6 linked regions of the Rattus norvegicus genome follow. The protein of the gene in region 4 purifies or fractionates together with the protein of the main gene of each other region. This does not show direct contact. Links are inferred from orthologs where the notes say so. Each region holds a gene or a part of one and is shown on either strand. Other genes may lie near its edges.

What was found.
Region 1: the proteins of Lgals3 (region 4) and Ece1 purify together in Homo sapiens (affinity purification with mass spectrometry; 3 studies listed by BioGRID and IntAct, counting the BioPlex papers as one, with this or other methods). This does not show direct contact. The link is inferred for Rattus norvegicus from reciprocal best matches to the Homo sapiens genes LGALS3 and ECE1.
Region 2: the proteins of Lgals3 (region 4) and Slc15a4 purify together in Homo sapiens (affinity purification with mass spectrometry; 3 studies listed by BioGRID and IntAct, counting the BioPlex papers as one, with this or other methods). This does not show direct contact. The link is inferred for Rattus norvegicus from reciprocal best matches to the Homo sapiens genes LGALS3 and SLC15A4.
Region 3: the proteins of Lgals3 (region 4) and Slc12a7 purify together in Homo sapiens (affinity purification with mass spectrometry; 3 studies listed by BioGRID and IntAct, counting the BioPlex papers as one, with this or other methods). This does not show direct contact. The link is inferred for Rattus norvegicus from reciprocal best matches to the Homo sapiens genes LGALS3 and SLC12A7.
Region 5: the proteins of Lgals3 (region 4) and Slc12a6 purify together in Homo sapiens (affinity purification with mass spectrometry; 3 studies listed by BioGRID and IntAct, counting the BioPlex papers as one, with this or other methods). This does not show direct contact. The link is inferred for Rattus norvegicus from reciprocal best matches to the Homo sapiens genes LGALS3 and SLC12A6.
Region 6: the proteins of Lgals3 (region 4) and Slc12a2 purify together in Homo sapiens (affinity purification with mass spectrometry; 3 studies listed by BioGRID and IntAct, counting the BioPlex papers as one, with this or other methods). This does not show direct contact. The link is inferred for Rattus norvegicus from reciprocal best matches to the Homo sapiens genes LGALS3 and SLC12A2.

What each region holds. Positions count from the first base shown.
Region 1 is NC_086023.1:155,444,531-155,448,030, reverse strand, and holds part of Ece1 (endothelin-converting enzyme 1), read right to left. Parts: intron 2,728-3,500; coding exon 2,617-2,727; intron 1,876-2,616; coding exon 1,777-1,875; intron 1,246-1,776; coding exon 1,168-1,245; intron 1-1,167. UniProt on the Homo sapiens protein: Converts big endothelin-1 to endothelin-1.
Region 2 is NC_086030.1:34,699,257-34,703,384, reverse strand, and holds the start of Slc15a4 (solute carrier family 15 member 4), read right to left. Parts: upstream 2,801-4,128; 5' UTR 2,552-2,800; coding exon 2,498-2,551; intron 128-2,497; exon of another isoform or gene 7-127; coding exon of another isoform or gene 1-6. UniProt on the Homo sapiens protein: Proton-coupled amino-acid transporter that mediates the transmembrane transport of L-histidine and some di- and tripeptides from inside the lysosome to the cytosol, and plays a key role in innate immune response.
Region 3 is NC_086019.1:31,327,126-31,330,625, forward strand, and holds part of Slc12a7 (solute carrier family 12 member 7), read right to left. Parts: intron 2,395-3,500; coding exon 2,248-2,394; intron 1,016-2,247; coding exon 961-1,015; intron 306-960; coding exon 175-305; intron 1-174. UniProt on the Homo sapiens protein: Mediates electroneutral potassium-chloride cotransport when activated by cell swelling. May mediate K(+) uptake into Deiters' cells in the cochlea and contribute to K(+) recycling in the inner ear.
Region 4 is NC_086033.1:23,103,043-23,106,542, reverse strand, and holds part of Lgals3 (galectin-3), read right to left. Parts: intron 709-3,500; 5' UTR 705-708; coding exon 687-704; intron 229-686; coding exon 1-228. UniProt on the Homo sapiens protein: Galactose-specific lectin which binds IgE. May mediate with the alpha-3, beta-1 integrin the stimulation by CSPG4 of endothelial cells migration.
Region 5 is NC_086021.1:119,599,612-119,603,111, reverse strand, and holds part of Slc12a6 (solute carrier family 12 member 6), read right to left. Parts: coding exon 3,285-3,500; intron 629-3,284; coding exon 414-628; intron 1-413.
Region 6 is NC_086036.1:53,573,833-53,577,332, reverse strand, and holds part of Slc12a2 (solute carrier family 12 member 2), read right to left. Parts: intron 1,616-3,500; coding exon 1,508-1,615; intron 386-1,507; coding exon 262-385; intron 1-261. UniProt on the Homo sapiens protein: Cation-chloride cotransporter which mediates the electroneutral transport of chloride, potassium and/or sodium ions across the membrane. Plays a vital role in the regulation of ionic balance and cell volume.

The sequences.
Region 1 (3,500 bases), on a different chromosome or scaffold from region 4:
GAGAACACTTTAAATGATTCTCAAGGAATTGGAGCTGCAGACAGAGTCTGACAGCCTCTGAGGTAATTTTAATAGATTCGGGTTTTAAATATAGCCCGGAGGTGAGGCTACTGTAACGTCAAAAGTGCCCCAAATGACAATCTTCAATGGAGAACTTGGAAGACCTAATCTTGTGGCTCAGAACTGCAGTCACTCAAGGCAGCTGATTAGCGTTCCAGGCGGCAGGAGCTCCTCCATTACCCCTTGATGCCAGGCTTTGGAAGTGTGCTTCCTCTTTCCCATTAGCATTTCAAGGTCAAAGCTAAAGGTCTAGGCATTCTCTGAGGAGGGAAGAGAGGAGCTCAGGGGCAGGAGGACGCCTGGGAGCAGCAGCAGCAGCAGCAGGTAAGGGGCTCACTTTGCTTACTCGAGGCTTTAGGGTTGCTGATTCTCACTGTGCCTTTGAAGAAACACTTTCTTTGAAGTAATAAACTTAATAAATGTATGTGTACACACATGCACATGCATGCATGCTTACTGTACACTCGTGTGTGACGGGGTGGCCAGAAGGAGTCGTATCTACTGGAGCTTGAGTTGTAGGAGGTCAGGAACTGCCCAAGGCGGGTGCTGAGAACCCAACTCCCGTAAGAGCAGTACGCGCTCTGGACCCGTCCGTCTGTCTGTCTGTCTGAGATAGGGTCTACCTTATAGTCCAGGGTGACCTTGAACTTGCCAAGTAGCCAAAGATGGCCTTGAACCCTGTTCCTCCTGCCCCAGCTTGTGGAGTCCTAGGGTTAGACACATATTGGCATGTCCGGTTGTTCTCCCCTCCTTTTTCCTGCCCCATGCTGTTGGGGATGGAACCTACGGCCTCACACACTCTAAGCACATGCTGTGCCACGGAGGCACCCTGCCCTAGCCGTTCCCACTCCCTCCCTGGAGCCGCCATTCCTAGTGAGGCCCAGAGCTTGTGTTCCAGAAATAACCACAGAGCAATGGCTGATGGTGGCTCTGGGGAGACAGGGACCCCCACTGACCCAGGACCACAAAGGAACAGGGGAAACTTTCCTCATGCCCCGTATCCCTAAACCCCGCCCTACATCACATTGGTATAGGTTGATGGCCACCACCGTGGCCTTGCCTCACATGGGCTTCAGGGAGTTTGAGGGGTAGACGGAAGCCACTTACGTCATTGAACACTTTGTCCAGCTCCTTGGGGTCCATGATGAAGTTGGGGTAGCCTATCATGTTGTAGATGGCGTCCGCCTGGACAGGAGGGATTGGAGTAAAACAGGGTCAAATGGTGCTAGCCAAGCCTGCCCCAGCTCTGTGGGATCCAGCTCAGGGTCCGTGCCAAGGAGAGGCAGGGCTAGCCTCCTGCCCCCTTAAGGATTCTATATCTTTTTCCTGGAAGGAGTCTGGTAAATTCTGTGAAATGTCATTTCCCTCGAGAGAGCATCATGGTTTGGATGTGTCACCCAAAGTTTACACATTGTAACTGATTCTGAGCTGAACGGTTCTGGAAGGTGAGCGAGTCACACAGCCTTCCTTGGTCCTCATGAAGGACAGCCACGGTTGCAGGAATGAGAGGGACCGAGGGTTACTTAACACAGGAGCTGGCTCTTACGAAAGGGTTGGCCTAGTCCCTTCCAGGGTGGGCACCCCCCTTGTCCTTTCCCTTCTGCTATGGGATATCCCTGACTCTATGCCACGGGGGCCTTCAGGATGTCCTGAGTCCCACTAGAATCACAGGGCACAATGGCATCCACACACATCTGAACTGCCAGGTAGCCTCACCTTCTCCTTGGCTGACCTCCGAGTATCTTCATCCATCCATTTCAGGGTGCTCAGGCTCTCCTCGAATGCCTTCTTGATCTCCAGGATGATCTCGCTGGCCTGAGGGACAGATGCCACGCCAGTGAGGGCTGGGCTCTGGCATCACCAACTAAGGACATTGCATCACCGGGAGCCCTGTGCCTAACTAAGGACATTGCATCACTGGGAGCGCTGTGCTTAAAGGACACCGCCGGCCAAAGGCTAAACTCAGGACTGGGTCAGGGAGGATCCATGTTTCCTACCCATCCTCTCCTTATAGGATCCTTCGAGCCAAGGCTGGCCTCCCGCTAACAGGACTGGGGTCAAGTGAGATGAGGCAGACTTTCAGGAAGTTGACGCAGTCTCTGTTGCTGGACTTTTCAGAGCCTCTCACATGGGCAGGTGCACTGTGAGCCCTTCCGTGATGGCTAAAATCCTCGGCCATTCCCAGACTGACCAGAGCACAGAAATCATTCTGAATGGAATGAGGTTTGAAATCTAGGGACAGTTTCCAAAAGGTTGCGGTTGCTACGGAAACAAACAGGAGCTCTGGAAAGGTAACTACATCATGGCCGGACCTGGAGGTCGGAGACAGGTTGAAGATTCTGGAGAAGAGGGGGGAGGCCCTCCACAGCAGCCGAGGTGACAGACCGAAGGGGGCGAGCCCTTGACTCCCGCTGGACTCTGTGTTAACCACAGACTGACATAAGCTCTACGCAGTCAGTACTGTTAGTGACCACAGCGAGGGCTGGGGCTGGGGCCTTAGTACGTGTGGGGCCCTGGGTTCAATCCCCAGCACCCTGAACACAGAGAGGCACTTACTATGTTCTTGCTGTCCTCCGCAAAGGTTGCTTTCACAAACATGGGGCCCAGGGCAAAGCCCAGGTTGTTTTCTGTGTCACTCACGCAAAACTTCCAGCGGGGAAGACAGGTCTGGAAAACACACATGGCTGCCAGTGGGACACACACATGGCTGTTTGTGGGAACAGCTTCCTTCTCCCAGCCCCTTTCCACCCGAGAACGGTGCCACCAGGCGCTTGTGCTTTCTTCTGGAGCCTTGGAGATACATTTTCTGGCCCAGTGGAGGCTACTTTAGGTACTGAGCTGAGAAGACTCAGGGCTAGGGACATAGCTCAGTGACAGAATGCTTGCCTGGCATGTAGGAGGCTGTGATTCTGTCACCAGTACTGAAGGGGGAAAAAAGATAGGCATGGTGGCCTTGAGTTGGTGACGAGGTTTGAGACTAGCCTGGGCTACAAAGTAAGACCCCCTTTCTCTCTTCAGCCTGGTACCAAAAGGTCTGGGATGTAGCTCAGTTAGAGTGTGGGATGCAAGGGGCCCTGGATTCATGTCCCAGCATCATAAAACGCTAGGTATGGGGCTGGGTACGGTGGCTCACGCTATTAGTCCCAGCTCTCTGCAGACAGAGGCAGACAGATCTTTGTGTGTTCAAGGTCAGCCCGGTCCACATAGTATGTTCATAGCTAATCAGAGCTACCGAGTAAGAGTTAGACACAGACACAGACACAGACAGACACACAGACACACACAATTGGGCATGGTAATGCACACTTGTGATCCCAGCATTGGAAAAGTAGAGGCAGAAGGACCAGGAGTTCAAGATCATCCTTTTCAGGTACACTATGAGTTCAAGACCAGCCTGGGCTACATGATATGCTAACACACACACACATACACACACACAC
Region 2 (4,128 bases), on a different chromosome or scaffold from region 4:
ACACATACACAAAAATGTATAAAAGAAGCAGAGGCAGAGGCAGGTAAATCTCTGTGAGGTCCAGGTCAAACTGATCTGTATAGCAAAGTTCCAGTCCAGCTAAACAAATAAATGTGTAAAATGAGGGAGTTTAAACTTACACACACACTCATTTTCATTCTCCCTCCCTCCTTCTCCCCACCCCCTCACTGAGAATCTCCTAAAAATACCACCACTTTTCAATGATGTCACAAAGGCACTACCACACCTCAGAACATCACCCCACATCTGATGTCAAGGCCATAGTACAAATATCCCAAGCAACCAAAACAAGGACTTTAAAAGAGACAAATGGGTGGGCTACACACACCCAAACTTCCAGCACTCCAGAAGCAGAAGCAGTAGGATCACAATAAGTCTGATACCAGCTTGGCTATGCATGGAATTCCAGGCCGGCTGGTTTACAGAGCAAGAACAGAACTCAAAAACCAAACTACACCAAAAAAACACTGGAGGCCAGGCCTGGTGGCACACACTTCTCAATGCAGAAGTCAGAGGCTATTACAGGTTGGAAGAAGTGACTGGGCTACTTAGTGAGTTTGGAGACAGCATGGGCTACACAGGAAAAACCCGGGTCAAAATAAACAAAATGACCAAGGACGATGGGGGATAGACAGGACTTGGGCAGAAGTATCAGGAGTTCAAAGTCATCTTCAACTAGTGAAGAATTAGAGGCTGGCCTGAGCTACACTGAGACCCCGTCTCAAAAATATTAACAAAACAAAACCTCATAAACAGAAAACAAAACCTCTACAGAGCAAGTCACTGACCACACCCAAAGTGGCTGTCAAGTTTCTCTCAGGTCCTGGCACCCAGAAGGGTCTCATCCCAGGAAGATGTGCGGAGACACCTGAAACAATAGCACTTAGGCTGTGCAAGAGCACCTGCTCTTACCTATGATGAAGTGTGCACACTGCACCCTCTCAGGGACCCTCACAGTGCAAATGATCTAGCATCTGTTGGAGAGCACACAGCATCTCGTCTGTTCCCTCAGCACCTGCTGAGCAGCTGGGCTCTTAACAGTCACCCATGCACACTACAACCAGAGCTTCTCCAACTGTATGTGTGTAAAACTTGCCAACAGTGACAGGCTTCTGAGTGCACAAGGACCAAAACTTAATTCAGAATCAAATGTGCAATGGACAGTCCTGAGTCTATGCAAGTACCACATACTGACACGCTTCATGATGCCAACAAATGCTGCCTGGCACACCCTGGCTTCATCTGATGCGACCATGCTATGAGCTGCACTGTTTCCACTGCACAGAGAATGTTTTTCTGTTCTTACTGAAGCATAAGGACTTAATTCCAAAGAGCCAAGACTTAGAATAGTTCCCTACCAGACATCACACTTGAGCTTTCAAAGATGAAGTCACTATGTCTGGATTGTTATCAAGTTATATAAACATGCACCTTATTACTACACAAATTAGATTTCATCTTTAATAAGTGGTAAAAAGAACTGTTTTAAAATAAATCTGACTTGGTTGATATCAGTTAATACTTGTTTAGCGATCTACTCAGTTAGATAAGTTCTCAGAAGTCTAAGGAGCCCAGTATACATCATGAAGCTCAAGCCACTCAAATATGAGGCACAGTCCACACCTTATGTAGCATGTATACCTTATGTAGTATGTACTTATGTAGCTTGTACACCTTATGTAGCATGTACACCTTATGTAGTATGGCCCAGTGTGTCTCTTACTTTCCCATTGCTGTGATAAACACTATGAGACCAGGGCAACTTGAGGAAGGGTGAGTTTACTTGGGCTCATAGTTCCAGTCCATTATGGCAGGGCAGACTGCTGACTAGAGCAGCAGTTCCACTCTCAAATAAAATGCCCACCCCATACTTCCTCCAGTCACCAACTACGGGCCAACTATCCAAATATATGAGGCTTATGAGGGCCATTTCATGCAAACCACCACACCTAGGCTTAAAGGACACAGCTAATGTGCTTTTGGCCTGTGGCATCATACGGCACTATTGGAACAGAGGCAAAGGCCAGGAGTCTGGACTTGGAAGTGTGAGGAACACCTTTCAGAACTCCAGAACTCTCAGGTAGCAACTACTTTCCTTTACATTTTACTTGTATGACCCCCAGTCTTGCTCTGTAGCTCATAATACGGGTGGCAACCTTCCTGCCTCAAACTCTTTTTAAATACCTCTGATACAGTTGAGATGTATCCTCCCTGAAATGGCCAGCCTTACAGGCACCATATAAACACTGGCCAGTCCTACATTCACGGTGCTACTCTGAGCAGATGACTTCACTCCGCTTACTTCAACTTCAGTCACTCAAGGATCAGTTTTGTACTGAGACCCAGGGCTCACCTTCCCTGCTGCTCACAAATAACCCTCCAGCCCTCCCCCTTCAGCCTCCTTCCCACATGCCTCCACTCTAGGCCACACCTCTCTCCTCAGCCCAGCGGCAGCCCAGGCTGTGCTCTCACCCACCTGCCACACAGTACACACTGACGGCTGCTTGCAATCTCTGAAACAGGACAGCATGTGTTAGGTTTTAGGAGTTATCTAGCCTCTGCGATCACTCAGTTTCACAACTGCATGGGAAGCAGGGGCAGGGAATGAGTAAGCAGGACCTTAAAAAGCTTTATCCAGAGAGCCTGGCGCTCAAACCCCACTTAATTTCCACTGCTTACAAAATACTCATTTGCATTTGACCACTAGAACCATTCTTAGCATGGGAGTCCCCTAAAAAAGGGAAGCAGAACAGATGTGGCTCCCAGACACTTGGCAGATCACTTCTGCTCTCTAAAGTGTTGCCTCCCTCCGCATCTCTTGTTCCTGGATGTCAGAGCAGCCGCATGATGCTGGTCTTTCCCATCCACCCACCCCACCCCACCCCTTACTTAAAGCAATGAAAATGGAAACTAAGTGCTTGCCCGTAACTGTAAAAGGGAAGCTAGGGCAGGGACAGAGCCTTTGTACCAGCCTATCCTCCAAATCACAACGTCAACCTTTTCTCTTGCAGCTTTCAACTCAAAGGACTCCACCAACAGAACGTCCCTTCTTCGTATAACCACAATGGCCATTTCATTACGAATAAATCCCACCACAGTGAAGGCACAGCCCTTCCTTACCACCCAAATCACACCTGCTTGTACAGCTCTCTCCAGTCTATTCGAGGACTTACACACACACACACACACACACACACACACACACCCCTTCACCCCTCCCCGAGAGCACTGGGTGGGTGTGGTTCTCCCCTCTCTTACAGTCCCCTACCAGATGCAAAAGCAGATGTGGACAGGGGTGCGCGTAGAGTTGGAGGTGCACTCCTTACTAAGTCATGAACCAAGTGCCAGGTGTGGAATGGGCTCTACTCATGAGCTTCCTCCTCACATGGATTAGAGGAAGCCTTGCTCTTCCTCCTACCCACTCAGGTGCTGGGGCAGATGGGTTTCCTCCCCACTCTTTAAGTCACTACAGAATAGGTCTCCTTCCTCACCTCCACTAACGAGGAGAGAACCTAGGCAAGTGGCCGCCTTCTCTGCACTACCTGACCTGGGGGCTCCTCTCCCTCGCCTTAACCCTTCTCTACATGTGAAGTGATGTGAGGTGCAGTCAAGCGGGGATGGAGGTTTGGGTGTTTGGGATGGGTCCTTTCCATCAGTAGAGAACCGTAGGGACAGGTGCAGGTATGCAGGGTACCGGGACAGTCCCCGTGTCCGTGCGCGGCGGACACGCAGCAAAGTCATGGCTTAGGTTCGGGTAGGTGTGGTGCGCAGGAGGTGCAGACACAAAACGGGGAGGACCTGGGCGGGTCCGGCTCACCTGATCCGCTCCAAAGGGTGTGATGTTGGCCTTGACCGTGGCCACACCGAGTCCCACGAGCACTAGACCCGCGAAGGTGGCGGGAGCACAGCGGCGCGCGGCAGCATCGGGACAGACCGCCGTTCCGTTAGGGAAGGGAGCCGAGCAGTTGCGCACCAGCTCCGGGTGCGGATCCCCGCAGAGAAAAGAGCGCGAGCGGGGCGCGGCCAGCAGCGGGAAGGCCAGCATGCCCAGCAGGTAGAGCGCCAGGCTGAGCAGGATGGCGCGCGCCCGGCCGAGTCGCGCGTCAG
Region 3 (3,500 bases), on a different chromosome or scaffold from region 4:
TAGCCATGCCTCCTGAGACAGCACAGACTGTGAGGTCTCACCCATCAGGGACCCAGACCCTCAGCCCAGACAGACAGCAGCTTTGAGTGCCCAGCTGTCCGTAGCAGCAGGGTAGAGGACAGTCTGAGGCAAAATGACTGGGCAAGGAAGGAAGACTTCCGCAGATGGACTCACCAGGAAGATCTCGATGGTTCCCAGGATGTACATGGCGCCTGCGAACGTTGTGCCCAAGTAGAAGCAGAGGCCAACAGCCCCTCCAAACTCAGGCCCCAGCGAACGGGAGATCATGTAGTATGAGCCTCCCGCTGTGAAGACAGCCCAAGGCAAAATATGGGTCAGGGAGTGTCATTAACTGTGAACACTGAGCACTTATAAAAAAAAGATGTGTCCCCATTAAGGGACGAGCAGCTTTAGTCTGCCCTCAAAGCAGAATCACTAGAAAGCCTTGGGCTATGAATTCATGTCTACCCCGTCCACAGTCACAGGCTAGCTCAAGTGTGATGAGAACCATCTGATACAGGCCTCACCTGTCTTCAGAAAACCTGCTGTGCCCTCAGACGGTTGAAGGAGAGACACTGGCACAGGCCTGTGGACTCCTTTATGCAGAGGACAGGCAGTAGTGCTTGGGGGTGTCTCTGCTAGCACATAAGAGTCCACCGCTTCAGAAGGACCTGCATTCTACTTAGGTTTGTGTCCAACTCAAGGATGTGGTGTCTGTCCTCGTAGTAACAGACAGGCAAGCAGTGAGGGTGTGTTTACACCAGAGCCTCTGGGGAGAGAGCCTCTCCCTTCTCTCCATGGGCAGCACAATACTCCAGTGCCACCCTGGTGAAAACAGTTAATGTCACTGTCATCACATGAGCCTGGGGCGGGAATGGCATCTGCATGCAATAGCTCTTGCCCTGTACTGTGAAGAGATCGATAAACCAACTCAAGGGCCACAGGCGCTGGCACCCTCACCTGGGACCACACCGTTGGTAGCGATGGCACTCATGGAGATGGCTGTCAGCATTGTCTGCAAAGAGAGGCAGCTTTTTCAGGAAACTCGTGCCCTGAGATGCTCCGACGCGCTCAGCCTGAGGCTGCAAGCTTCTGACCTCAAAGGAGGTACTAATGACCAGGGAAGACAGGCCTCCTGCCTGTCAACCCTTTTCTACCCAACCCACAAACCCATTCCCAAAGGTCACAGAAGACACAGGTTTCGGACCCTGTTCGCCACAGACCTGAAAGCTGAACCTCATCTAAGTGCCTGACCTTTCTACCAATCCAAGAAGCACAAGAGGACGCTTCATCTAGATGTGCATGCAACAGGGAACAGGGCACCACACCTTGTATCCCCCTCACCTCCAGCAAGCACCCTCTGCTCAGGTAAGTTTATTTGAGGGTACCAGGAATGTGGTACCAAGAATGGCATCCACTGGAAACCAGAAGACAGCTTGGGGTGACCATGTGGAATGACCAGCCTGGAAATATAGGCGAATGCCCTAGGGTGGTCATGGTGTGGCAAAGACATGAAGTGACCAGTTGGGAAGCATGGGCTGGAGGATTGGAAGGACAACATAGACTGACCAGTCATGGAACAGGCAAGCAGGTAGCCACAAGAATGGCCAGTCAAAGGACAGTAGGTAGCCTGGGATAGACACACAGGTGTGAGCTATCAGGGAACAAGTGGTCAGGTAGCCTGGGGTAGGAGTCAAGGAGACTCCCATTCAACCATATTATCTGACTTCCCTACAGAAAGGACCCAGTGACACGTGGGTAAGTAAAACAAAGGTATACTCTTCCTCACCAGAGGAAGGGGAAGGACAGAAAGTCAGCTGGTAAACAAGGATAAGGTAAACCAGCATGACAAAAATGTCAGTAGAACTAGAAAACATGCTGGAAGCCTGGACTTGAACAAGTTTCAAACCTGTGTCCCTTTCTCTTCAAGAAACTCTGAAAATATCCATTATCCTTCCAAACTAGGGGGGTCTCATCATACCCCAATAAGAGGCACCTGTCCTGACGAGAAATGCAACCCTCAACATAGATACAGCTAGATAAGATCTTCAGACTAGCAGGAAACCTGCTTTGCCAGACCGGATGGGCCAGCCCACCTCTCCTGAGTCCTCTATAGGACTGAGCCTCTCTGGTTCCTAGAGAGGGACCTAAAAACGCAGACCTGGATTTCCCAATAGTAGCCTCCCCGGGCCCTAGCACAGCTCCTGCGAAATTGCCCCAGGACCAGCTGCAAACATGAACACTCACACAGGTGCAGCACATGGCCACGATGAGGAAGGACTCCAGAACGCCAGCCGCCCCCACAATCCAGGTCAGGCGCAGGAAAAGGATTACACCCAAGATGTTCTGCAGGCACGGTAGGTAGACTCCGATGAAGGTGCCCATGCGTGGGGCCTGGAACAGAGTATCATATGTCTGGGGAGGCTCACAGCCCGCACCCAGTAACTCAGCCTGGAGCCCTACCCCATGTTTTGGTTTGGAGGTCACAGGAAAAGAAAAACTGGGCAGGGACATGGTGGCCATACAATGAAAATACAAGGATAGGGAAGATGCCTACAAAAATCTACGTCCTAAATAAGATGAGGTTCTGTGACTCTAGAGCAGACTCCTGGCGTCTAGAGCATTGTGCTGGAGGTTGAGAAAACCATCCTAGGCAGACACAGGAACAAACCGCCTGACTCTGGTTTCCTGCCGGGGAGAAGAATCAGAGTGGGAAGTTTGGAACAGTGAGGTAGGGTCCCTGTTCTATATGTGGGACAGCTAGGGGCCTGAATCTTGGTGCCAGGTAGCTTGAGGCATGAAAGAAAGGAGGCCAGAAAGGGGCCAAACACCAGTAAGACTACCTGAAAGTTCAAAAGTCTCACTGTCATACAATAGGAAACAGACTAGAGACTCGGGGACACAAGAGCTGAGAAGCCAGACCCCAACAGGGAGGCTCATCTCAGTCTAGGTGGACACAGAACAAGATGGAGGACTAGCTTGAGCACATTGCCTGTAGATGATGACCACAGGGCTGGCACAGAGCAATGCTCGCACAGAAGCCTGGCCAAGGACGTCATCCAACCTAGACCAGGCAGCGAGAGCCCAGCAGCTGAGGGATGGTACAGGATGGCTGTAGCTGGCCAGAGGGCAGAGTCCAAGGAGAACAAACTGACCACCTAAACCTGAGAGAACAGGATGGCAGCTCAGGCCTGCACAGGACCCTGCCACTGTGAGCCACCCAGGGCAGGGCCGCTTAACGTCCACCAACTCGACATCAAAGGTTTCACAGGAAAAAAGGAGAGTGTGTGGAGAGCTCTGGGTTTGACAGCCTGGAGACCTTATCCCTGCACCCAAGGCCAGTGAGCATCAAGGTTCACACAGAAGGGAGAAATATATATAGCAAGAGGGAGGCCCAAGACTTGACCTCATGCCCTCCCTATCTTTGAGGTCTGGCACTGCATTGTGGGGTCAGAAAATAAAATCCTTATGGGTTTGGATTCTGTAAGCTGGTAGATGAA
Region 4 (3,500 bases):
GCCAGGATAAGCTCCAGGGGCAGTTGGGCCAGGATAAGCACTAGGGCCAGTTGGGCCCGGATAGGCACTAGGAGGAGCCTGTCCAGGATAACCCCCTGGAGGAGCCTGTCCTGGGTAGGCCCCAGGATAGGAGGCCCCTGGGTAGCCTCCTGCCCCAGGCTGGTTCCCCCATGCACCAGGCCATCCTTGAGGGTTTGGGTTTCCAGAGCCAGCTAAGGCATCATTAAGCTGTAAAGAAAGACAAACAATTAGAGGATGGGACTCCTTCACCACGGGACTCCAGGCACTTGTGATCTAAGAAGCTGAGAGTACAGGAAAAAGATTCATATTCTTCCCTCGCCTTTTCTGCTGTTTTGTGTTGTATTTTATTCTGGTCTCTCATCTTCGTGGGTCGGGGTGGGTTAAGCTCTTCTGGTTTACACCAGGAACTGGCTGGCTATAAACACACGCTTTCTAGTCAACACGAGAGACAGCTGCAGGTGTTGGCATGAGCGCACCAAGTCACCGTCTCGCTGCTTCCAGGAGGGACATCTCCGCTGTGCAGGCCACACCTCTCCCTGTAATCTGCTGCTGGGAAAGCAAGCCTGCTGCTAACAGGCCTGAATGCACACGAGAGCCAGAGGGAGTTTCACAGTAGGAGGGTCAAAGGGAAAGCTCGGCTAAGAGAACACACATGAAATACTTACTGAGAAGCCGTCTGCCATTTTCCTAAGAGAGAAAAGCCAAAGGGGGTTATTAGTACTTGAGCCTAAAACATTTTACAAAATCTCACGAGATTAAACATAAATAGTTCATGGGCAATTCTGGTCAGTCTACAATCATTTCACCTAGATCAATGGCGCTGGATCATAAAAACATCTTGCGGACAGGCGGGATACAGTCTAGCTAAATTCCAAACCCACTCAGGTTCTGAAGTCAGACCTTGACGCCAGGAGCTTGTGCTCTGAGAGTAAAAGGCCTTGAGGGCTAAGGGGTAGGTTGAGAATTTCCTGTCTCTCCTCTCGGTGAAAGACGGTAAATTCTCTTGGCTCCCTGCTTCCCTGAGTTTTTCTACCCTTGCAAGGATACATGGGAAGTACAACCCTCCCTCCTCTCTTCCCAGCCACAGATTGGAGGAAATCCATCTGTCGGTTCCTACCGAGATCTCTAAGACAGCTGATATGGCTGCTGCCTGGTTAGTTACCCTCGCTTGGTGCACCCTGACGCCTGCTCTGAGCCATCGCTTTCCACACCATCCCAGGGCCCCCAGGGCCCCCAGGCCAGTGAGAGATATGAGACGCATGCACACCAGAGTGTGGTCGGTGCTGCTGGGACATTCAAACCTGAGAACTCACTTGTGAGCTGGGAAGGGCGTTGGTGGTGGACAGGCGGCATTTGGGAGTGTTTGGTTGGATTTCGAAGTATTGTAAGTATTAAGGTCTTTCTATGTAGTTCATCCTGACTTTGAACTTAGGATCCTCCTGCCTCAGCACCTCAAGTGTTGGCTGTGGTGCCTGTGGGTTTTTGCTGTTGTTTGTTTGTTTGTTTCCAACAACAAATAAAACAGCAGTAAAACAGCCAAGCAAAGGCCAGTCAGGCGGCCTGAGGCAGCTGCCTTCAAGATACTGCCAAACAGGTTTGCCTTACACGGATTGGTCACGGGGCTGGTTTGCAGACGTACCCTGTTTCCTCCAGCTCTTGCTCCTGTGCCACACCTATCAAACCACAGGATGCATGAAACCTGCCCCCCTTTTCAGCAGATTCCCTCAGAATGCAGCAGAGAGCAGCTGTGGTTTGGAAACGTTCCTTTCTTAGGGCGCTGGCGATTAAATTAACAGCAATTGGCATATTTGGCAAAGGCTAGCACTAAGGCACGAAACAATGCAAGCAGCCACAGGGAGGGCAGCTTTGGACGGGAATGAGATCGATCAGAGCTCAGAACGACTGCAGCCATCTTGCTGCCATGAGAATCACCTGAACATGGGGTTGGGGATTTAGCTCAGTGGTAGAGCGCTTGCCTAGCAAGCACAAGGCCCTGGGTTCGGTCCCCAGCTCCGGGAAAAAAAGGGGGAAAAAAAAAAAAAAAGAAAGAGAATCACCTGAACCTAATACATAATCAGACTCTCTTCTGACTTCATTTTGCCCATCTGTGATAGTTTACTCAGTTATCCCGAGAAATAACATGATTAGGTGAGCACCGTGTCCATCATGCCTGTGAGCGCAGCATTCTGTAGCCTGAGAGTTTGAGGTCAGCCTGGACCACATACCAAGCTCCAGGGTCTCATTCCAGCCTTGATCACTTACAGCAACCCCCCTTCCTCAGCCTCCCAGGGACTGGCATCAAAGGCAGGACCCGCAGTTCCTGGCTTCAGATTTTTTCTTAAGAAAATAAAGCCTAGGCTGGGCATAGTGGTACACAGCACCCAGAAGGCAGAGGCAGGCAGATTTCTGTGAGTTTGAGGCCAGTCTGGTTTACAGAGCGAGTTCCGGACCAGCCAACGCTACATTGTGAGATCCTGTTAGGAAGTGGTTTTGAAGCTCAAAGTGGACAGAGAACTTAGCACTTCTGATTAAACCTTTCCCCACCCCTTCAGCAATATCTCTGGCTTCAAGCCGTTAGATGCCGGTGGCACACTGCCCTGTAACTTGTGACAACCCAAAATGTTTTCAAAGGTGGGAAAAATCTCTAAGGCCAAAAATCACCTCTGGTTGAATTGAAGACTACCAATTCAGGCTGTCAGTGTCTATCCCTAGATAAACTTACATACAAGGGGCCATAAAAACCAACAAGGAATTTTAAAGTAGCGAAGGTTACCAGGGAGGATGGTCACCACCTGCCACCTCAAGTCTAGGGGGGGCTGAGGTAAGAGGAGCAGAAATGTGGAGCCTGTCTAAGCTGCACAAGCAGACAAACAAGAGCAATCCTCTGCTGGGCATGGTGCCACACACCTCTATCTTAGGCTGAGGCAGGAGGATTGACTTTACCGTTAACCTAGGCCACAGAGCAAGACTGTCTCTAAAAACTAACCAACGAGCACTTCCCCATAAAGAAACCCTTTTCCCCTCTTAAGTACGCTTCAGTTTTAGTTTGTTTTTTGTTTGTTTGTTTGTTTGTTTTTTTCTTGGAGCTGAGGACCAATATGCTTCAGTTTTGTTTTGTTTTGTTTTGTTTTGTTTTGATTCTTTTTTTCGGAGCTGGGGACCGAACCCAGGGCCTTGTGCTTCCTAGGCAAGCGCTCTACCACTGAGCTAAATCCCCAACCCCTGCTTCAATTTTAAGAGACTTGAAGATTTACAAGTTAAACTCTTAGGTCTGAAGGGTCAAATCACTGTTAAATAATATGTCACTCAAAAGAGCCTACATGGGAAAACAAACAAACAATCGAACTTTCCCATTCTCCTCAAAAGGTGCTCTATTAACAGAACACCAGTCAAATTCTGTTTAAAGAGTGATACATCTAGAAACGCTAAGAGATACTGTGCAAAGCCTCTGATCAAGGCTGGCTGGCTCCATCTTCCAA
Region 5 (3,500 bases), on a different chromosome or scaffold from region 4:
GGCTCTATCATTATGTCTTTTGAGGAAGGGGAGCTCACAAGACCCCACCCATCCTGAGGCTTTATAACCAACCACCTAATGTGGGAGGGCGAGACATTTTCCTCAGTCTTGTAGCCACTGTAAAGTGCCCATGCTGCTATAAACACACCACCCATGAACCTATAGTCAGTTCCAATGAGATTCAGTGTGTATGCAAATGAGAATAATGAGTATGAGTAAGTATGATTAAAATAACACAATAAGCATGTATAAGATATAATAAACTTATTGTTATGCGTAATTAATACTATAATACAAAGTAAAAAAAATAGGGGGAGGGTGAAGACCTAAGGCGGGAAAGCCTACGTCCCACTACTGTACTTAAAGAAGAAACAACACAAAACAAACCAATCTAGTTAAACTCTCTAACTTACCAGTAATGATGCCACTAGCCAACCCTGGAATGCCCTGGATTGAGGTGACATTATTGTGAACAAAGTACTCATCACAGGTGGCATTAAAAAACTGACTTGAGTTGCAGAAGAATCCCCATAACTTTGATGGTATTGTCATGTTGTTAACTTCCTTGGTCTTAGAGCAAATGTCAAGGTGTCTTGATGACAGGGTGCGGTTGCCCAGCATACAGACCCTAAATCAAAGCAAACAGAGAAGAAGAGAAAGATCAAGAAGGGAAAAAAGAACAGAGAAAACTAAGTTTTAAAGATGAAAAAACAAGGATAAAATGTCATTGCCCAGAGATTTTACTGTCATGGGTAGACAAGGATGACCTAAAATTGAGGTGACCTGTACTTTCTGCCAGTGTAACCCTCACAGATCTCACAATATTTTAACATTTATCTTTTGTAGCTGGAGGCCCTGAGGGTTACAGGGATGCAGTATTCTGCCCAAGACCAAGGTCATACAAATGACAGATATAGGTGATATGATTCAAACACAAGAACTGTACAAAGAAACTATGCTCAATTATCTTCCAAAAATATTTGGCTATTCATTCACTTTCAGGCCCAAAGGAATCCTGGAGAGGTTAGGGAGATGGAGTTCTTGTTATGGAAGCATGAGAACCTGAGCTCAGATCTCCAGCACCCAGGTCAAAGCCTGGTGTGGTCATACGTGCCTGTCATCTCAGCTCTGGAAATTGGGGCAGGGGAGGAGGAGACACAGAAAGGCTGGACTATTTAGCCAGTCCAGCTAAACAGTGCAAAAAATGGTACAATATAGAGAGTGATAAAGGATACCTGAAACCTTGTTTTGGTTTCCACACAGACACACATATGGACTGTCACTGCCCTACCCCCACACCATTACCACCGCCAGCAACAATGAAATCCCAGAGAACTTCTGCTCTTATTTTTAAAATATGTCCAAATACCCATATTTTCATTTGCTTGTTTTCTTTCTAGGCAGAGGCAGAGAGGGGGAGGAGGAAGAGAAAGAAAGAAGGTAGGGAATGAAATGTGAAGAGGCTTGTCACAGCCTCCTGGGACTGCCAGCTCGTCCAAGTCTTCTGATTACTGCTACAGGACAGTCTGACTAGACTTAAAAGCATCTCTCTCCATGGCCCAAGAGAAAACTGTTTTTGACCTTAAACCTAGACCCAGTGGTAAAGAGGAATTATACAAATATTAACTGCAGTTTTATTTTTTTCTACTACCTAGAAACATAAACAAGAATGGAGTAATAGACCTGTAATACAATACTTCTGAGGTACAAAAAAACAAAAAACAAAAAAAAGAAAAAATAAACCACGATTCCAAATCTGCAGAGTGATTTCATACATACACAATTAGCCACGTGGCTTCAACAACTCAACAATCCTAGTTTTGTTTCATGGTTTATCTAAGGTTTTTGGTTTTTTTTTTTAACATATTATGCTGGAATTTAAAAAAACAAAATAGCTTGTATTGGGATTTCTTCTTCAACCAAACAGAAATAGAGAAGCCCCAAAGAGGAACCTGAAGCAAATGGAATTTTCCGAGTTGAGATACAGCTTAAAAAGTTGCATCTAAAACTTTTACAGGGCTGGAGAGATGGCTCAGTGGTTAAGAGCACTGACAGCTCTTCCAGAGGTCCTGAGTTCAAATCTCAGCAACCACATGGTGGCTCACAACCATCTGTAGTGAGATCTGATGCCCTCTTCTGGTGTGTCTGAAGACAGCTACAGTGTACTCATATATAATAAGTAAATCTTTAAAACTTTTATAACTCTGAAAATGATCTTTATTTTATGGCCCTAAGTAAGCAAAATGAAAATTTATGGTGGGATTTATTACTGACATCACATAGAAGAAATACCAAATAGCAATCAGGAAATCACAAAGTCCCATGAAATAGCTGACTTTGGGGAAAGTCATTCATCTTCACTTGATCTGGCTTCTTCATCATGAAAAAAATGTTTTTGTATTTTTTTTTCCTGTAACTTGTTTTAAATCAGCATAATATCAATAACTTTGATTCCCTGCTGATCCACATGAGTTCAAAGGCAACTTCTGTAATAAGATTACATTACAAATACTCAGTGTCAACTGGCCTCTGTGTCACAAATCCTTGAGACAACAGGTGAGTCTGTGAAGGAAGTCTGCACAAATTCATCACTTCACTACTGTACTATGTATGATATGGCACGTCCAGGGGACATACATGCGATAAGACAGCCATTTCCCTTTATACCTGATAACTCTGAGCACTTACGGTACCAAGAATAAAGTAAATAAATAATTTAGGTAACTCTTTAAAAAAAGATTTAGTTTATGTATATGGGTGTTTTTGCCTACTTGAATGTTCTGTACGCCTGAAGCCTGTAAAGGCCTGAAGAGGGCACTAGATCCCTTGGAACTGGAGTTACAGACAGTTGTGAGCCATCATGTGGGTGTTAGGGACCTAGGTCCTCTGAAGATCAGCCACTGCTTTTAACTACAGAGTCCCCTTTCCAGACTGCTACTGTAGAATTCTTTTGAATTGATTTTTATTTTAAAAGCGACTGAACATTATTTGCTGGTAATGACTATGACTGCAAAGTCCTTCATGGATAGTTCACACAAACACAATCATTATTGGGGGGCAAGGAGCAGCATACATAAAGAGGTGTACCTTAAGAATGGATACAGCTGTTAGGTCTACATTTCAGAAGTGAAGAAGAGGGTCAATAGGACAGTATGTCAGGAAGCTTCCTTCTGGGAAATTGGACCAATAGGAAATCACTCCATGAAATTTTGGTGAAAATGTTCACATCACCAGATACCTTCACTGACTATCCAATGACGATTATGTCAAAGAGAGGTACGTACGGGAAGTGTGGTGGAGCAAAGGAAGACTTGATGGCACCAGCATAGATAGCCAAGATCGACACAATTACACAGGCCAGGAAAAGTGAGGCAAACTTATTCACATAGCGTACGCCGATGAACACCACCAAGACCATGAGGACCAGGAAGGCTGTACCATAGACACGCATGTTGTTCAGCATGGCTGCTGACTCCTTGAGTGCATCATCGCTCCGAAAG
Region 6 (3,500 bases), on a different chromosome or scaffold from region 4:
GTGAATCTTAAAAAAAAGGGGTGGGGGGGAGGCAGGAAAGAAAGAATAGGGACAAAAAAAGAAAGAATATAATATTCCTTTTACCCTAATTTTGCACAATGGAATTAAGTTTAATAAGTAATATCAGGTACTACTATTTGCAATATTTTACTTTGATTAGAAACTAATTAATATACATTAATAACTTAATATTCATGATTACAGATAACACTATATCAAAACATACCAAAACCTACATAATATACCATTCATAGAACTAACCAATTAAGATGAATCCAAGTGCAATTAAGAATGTTAAGATGTAACCACGAAGAGGTTCATTATTTTTTCCATAACCTTTCGCAAACATCTGGAAAGCTGGGTAGATATTGTCCTTACATAGAGCCTAACCCAAGGGAAAAAAAATACAAACATTAAAACAAAACACATAAAACTTACGATGTGCAAATCTGCAAACAGTTAAAGTATGTTAACCAAGAATGAAGTCCAAGTCTCTCCTTTCCGATACTATGTTTCCTGTCTCTCGGTGCTGCACCGACAGACTATAAAGGACAAGTGAACAGTTCAGACAGCTGAAGGCTAGATGGTTCCTAACACTGCTAAAGATTTTGTTTGTCTTGCTCCATCCCATGTTAAAACTCTATTTATGAAGAATCGGAGAAGCAGTCATTCAAACAAAGTACAATGAAAAACCCTAAAAGTTGGCATTATGATACAGTGTACCTAAGGCTTTAAGAAAACCAACTCCAAATCTGAAATGAAAATGATTAAAAACCCGAAGTATAAAGTTGAACTACTTTTCTCCCAATCCTAACAGATATTGTCTTAAAAGTCCTATTAGACAACACTGCTATACTTCTTGCTACAAATACAGTATTAAGAGCAAGGCTAGAAAGTCAACACTTATCACTGTCAGATGCTTAATGACCACCATAGGAAGCAACACTCATCCTAGCTATCACGGCCTCTACTACAGTCGCTGCACTATGAGCCACATAAGATAGTCAAGTTGGCATCATGTTAACTGAAACCACTATTTACAGTTCTGATTTAGAGTCTTACGCTGCACTCCTAACTTGACAACCATCCTAAACTTTAATGCTAAGTATGCCAAAAACAAAACCCACCTAATCCCTAAAATATTTTTAATCCCTAAAATATTTATTTTATCATTTTCAATTATCTATGTGTCTGGAGTTACAGCTGATTATGTACACCCAGTGCACATACTGGAAACTGAATCTGGATTCTCTGTGTGAACCTGTACTGCTGAGCCATCTCTCCAGACCCTCCAATCATCCTTCCTAAAGACATTTCAAGGCTGTACCTTGACAGTAGGAAAATGCACAAATGTTTTTAGGGATCTACACAGCATTTATGTAAATAAAATTTACACCAATCTTGATATATGTATATGCAAACAAACACATGAGATTGATAAGGTAATTTATCTGAATTTGAAATATTATTTTAACATCTTCAATAACAATAATATGAAAATATTTACCTGAAATATTTTGGGAGCACTCACAAGAGATGCCAGTGCTGATGAGAGTGTGGCTGAAAAGATACCCGCAGAGATCAGGGGTGCAAATCCTGACACCATGCTCATCACCTTGAATAAATGACAGAACAGAGTAAATACTCACAACTTGAGGTTTCTAATAAAGAAAACTAATACTAGAAATAATCTGATAGGAATCTGGTAATAGCAATGAGAAGTAAATTACAAATTATTAAAATAGGTCTCTGACTTAAAAACCCTTTCCTCATAAATTTTCAAATGCACAAATGACGGAAACTGTGGGTAACGAACTACCAACTACACAACACCAGGTCTCAACCAAACACAACGTGGGCCAATCCCACACCACGTTCCAAAGACTCCTGGCTTTTTAATGCATGAAGGATCAGTCTGTATCTCTTAAGAGGCGAAGACTTTTTGAAAAGTCTAACTACAGCCATTAGTCAGCTTAGTTATCTGAACTTTTCTTCACAGTATCCCTATGTTGTCAGCAATCAAACTACCCCAACTACCCCATTTTCTTGGTCATTTCAAGACAGGTTTGTTTGTTTTAAACAGCTCTCAAAAATGTCTGCTGTTATTTGGGTAATGTGGTTTTCAATATTTGTAATATATGGTCATACTGTTGAATTTTTCTAATTGTTTTTCCTGCCACACTCTGGAGCTCCTATCCTATATCCTGTGATGTGCTGACTCTATCTCTCTATTATGTAACTCATTTCTCTCATCTAGGTTCTAGAACACTGATGGTTAGATCTAGCCAGTAAGTCAGACTGAGGTAAGCTCTTATGAAAGTGTACTCATACATCAAGAGGGTTTATTTGTACGGGCTGTAAAAGTAATGTAGGTATGAAGTTTTTTAAGTACATAACAGTTAAAGGTAAAAATGCCAAGCCAAAAAGATTATGATACAAATTCTATTCTGCTTCTAAATACCTGGGATACAGGAAGTTACAAGCAAAAGACAATTAGTCACACCCTGATAAGTGACGAAGGTTACATGTACATGCAGTATATTGCTTCCCCTGTGCATTGTGCCCAAACATTTCTGCACATGCATGTGCACTCCTCCCACACTCAAGAGTTAGACATGAAAACTTCAGGCTCAATTCTCAGAAGCACTGTCCTTTGCACAAACACATCAGTATCCTATGCTTAGTATCAGAAAATACTGTAGGAAAAGTCAAGTAGGACTTCTGACTTTCCAGTTTATGTTTTCCCTCAGCACTTCTAAAATTTAATGGTGAATAGGAGTAGAAAGGACGTAGTGACACTGACTGAAAATAGGGGCTCCATCACTGTTGTCCACCACATACAGCAGCAAAGATGACAGGCAAGACAGCTGTCCAAATGAAGCGCTGAACGGAAGTAAGGAACGCTAGCCTGACTGCCGAAACGTGCGTAAACACAGGACCAAGTCCAGGACAGACAGAAGTGTAAGAGCTCAGGTGTTAGGAGCTTTGACTTACAGAATGTTTGGAAGGATTAGGAAGTGTGTCCTTGTTGGAAGCCATGAGTTGTTGGGGTGGGCTTTTAGGTTTCAAAAGTCTACCCTAGGCCCAGTGTCTGTCTCTCTCTGCCTGCTACCTGAAGATCAGGAATTAAATCTCTCAGCTACTTCTCTAGCAACATGCCTGCCTGCGTGCCACCCAGATCTTCACCACAATGACAATGACCCATTCTACTTCCCAAACGCTGGGATTACAAGCATGTGACATTTCACCCAGTTTGTGTGGTGCTAAGGACTGAGACCAGGGCTTTGTGAAGGCTAGACAAGCACCTCCCAACAAGCTACATGCCCAGCTCTATTGATCAGTATATCTTAATAGTTTATTTATACATAAACAATAAAGGTACTACTAATTACTAAGAAGCTAAAATTGCTAGAACTATTTTGGAAGAAGTTAATCTGACTTCAAGACTTACTATATATATATACATACATTCACACATACACACACACACACACACACAC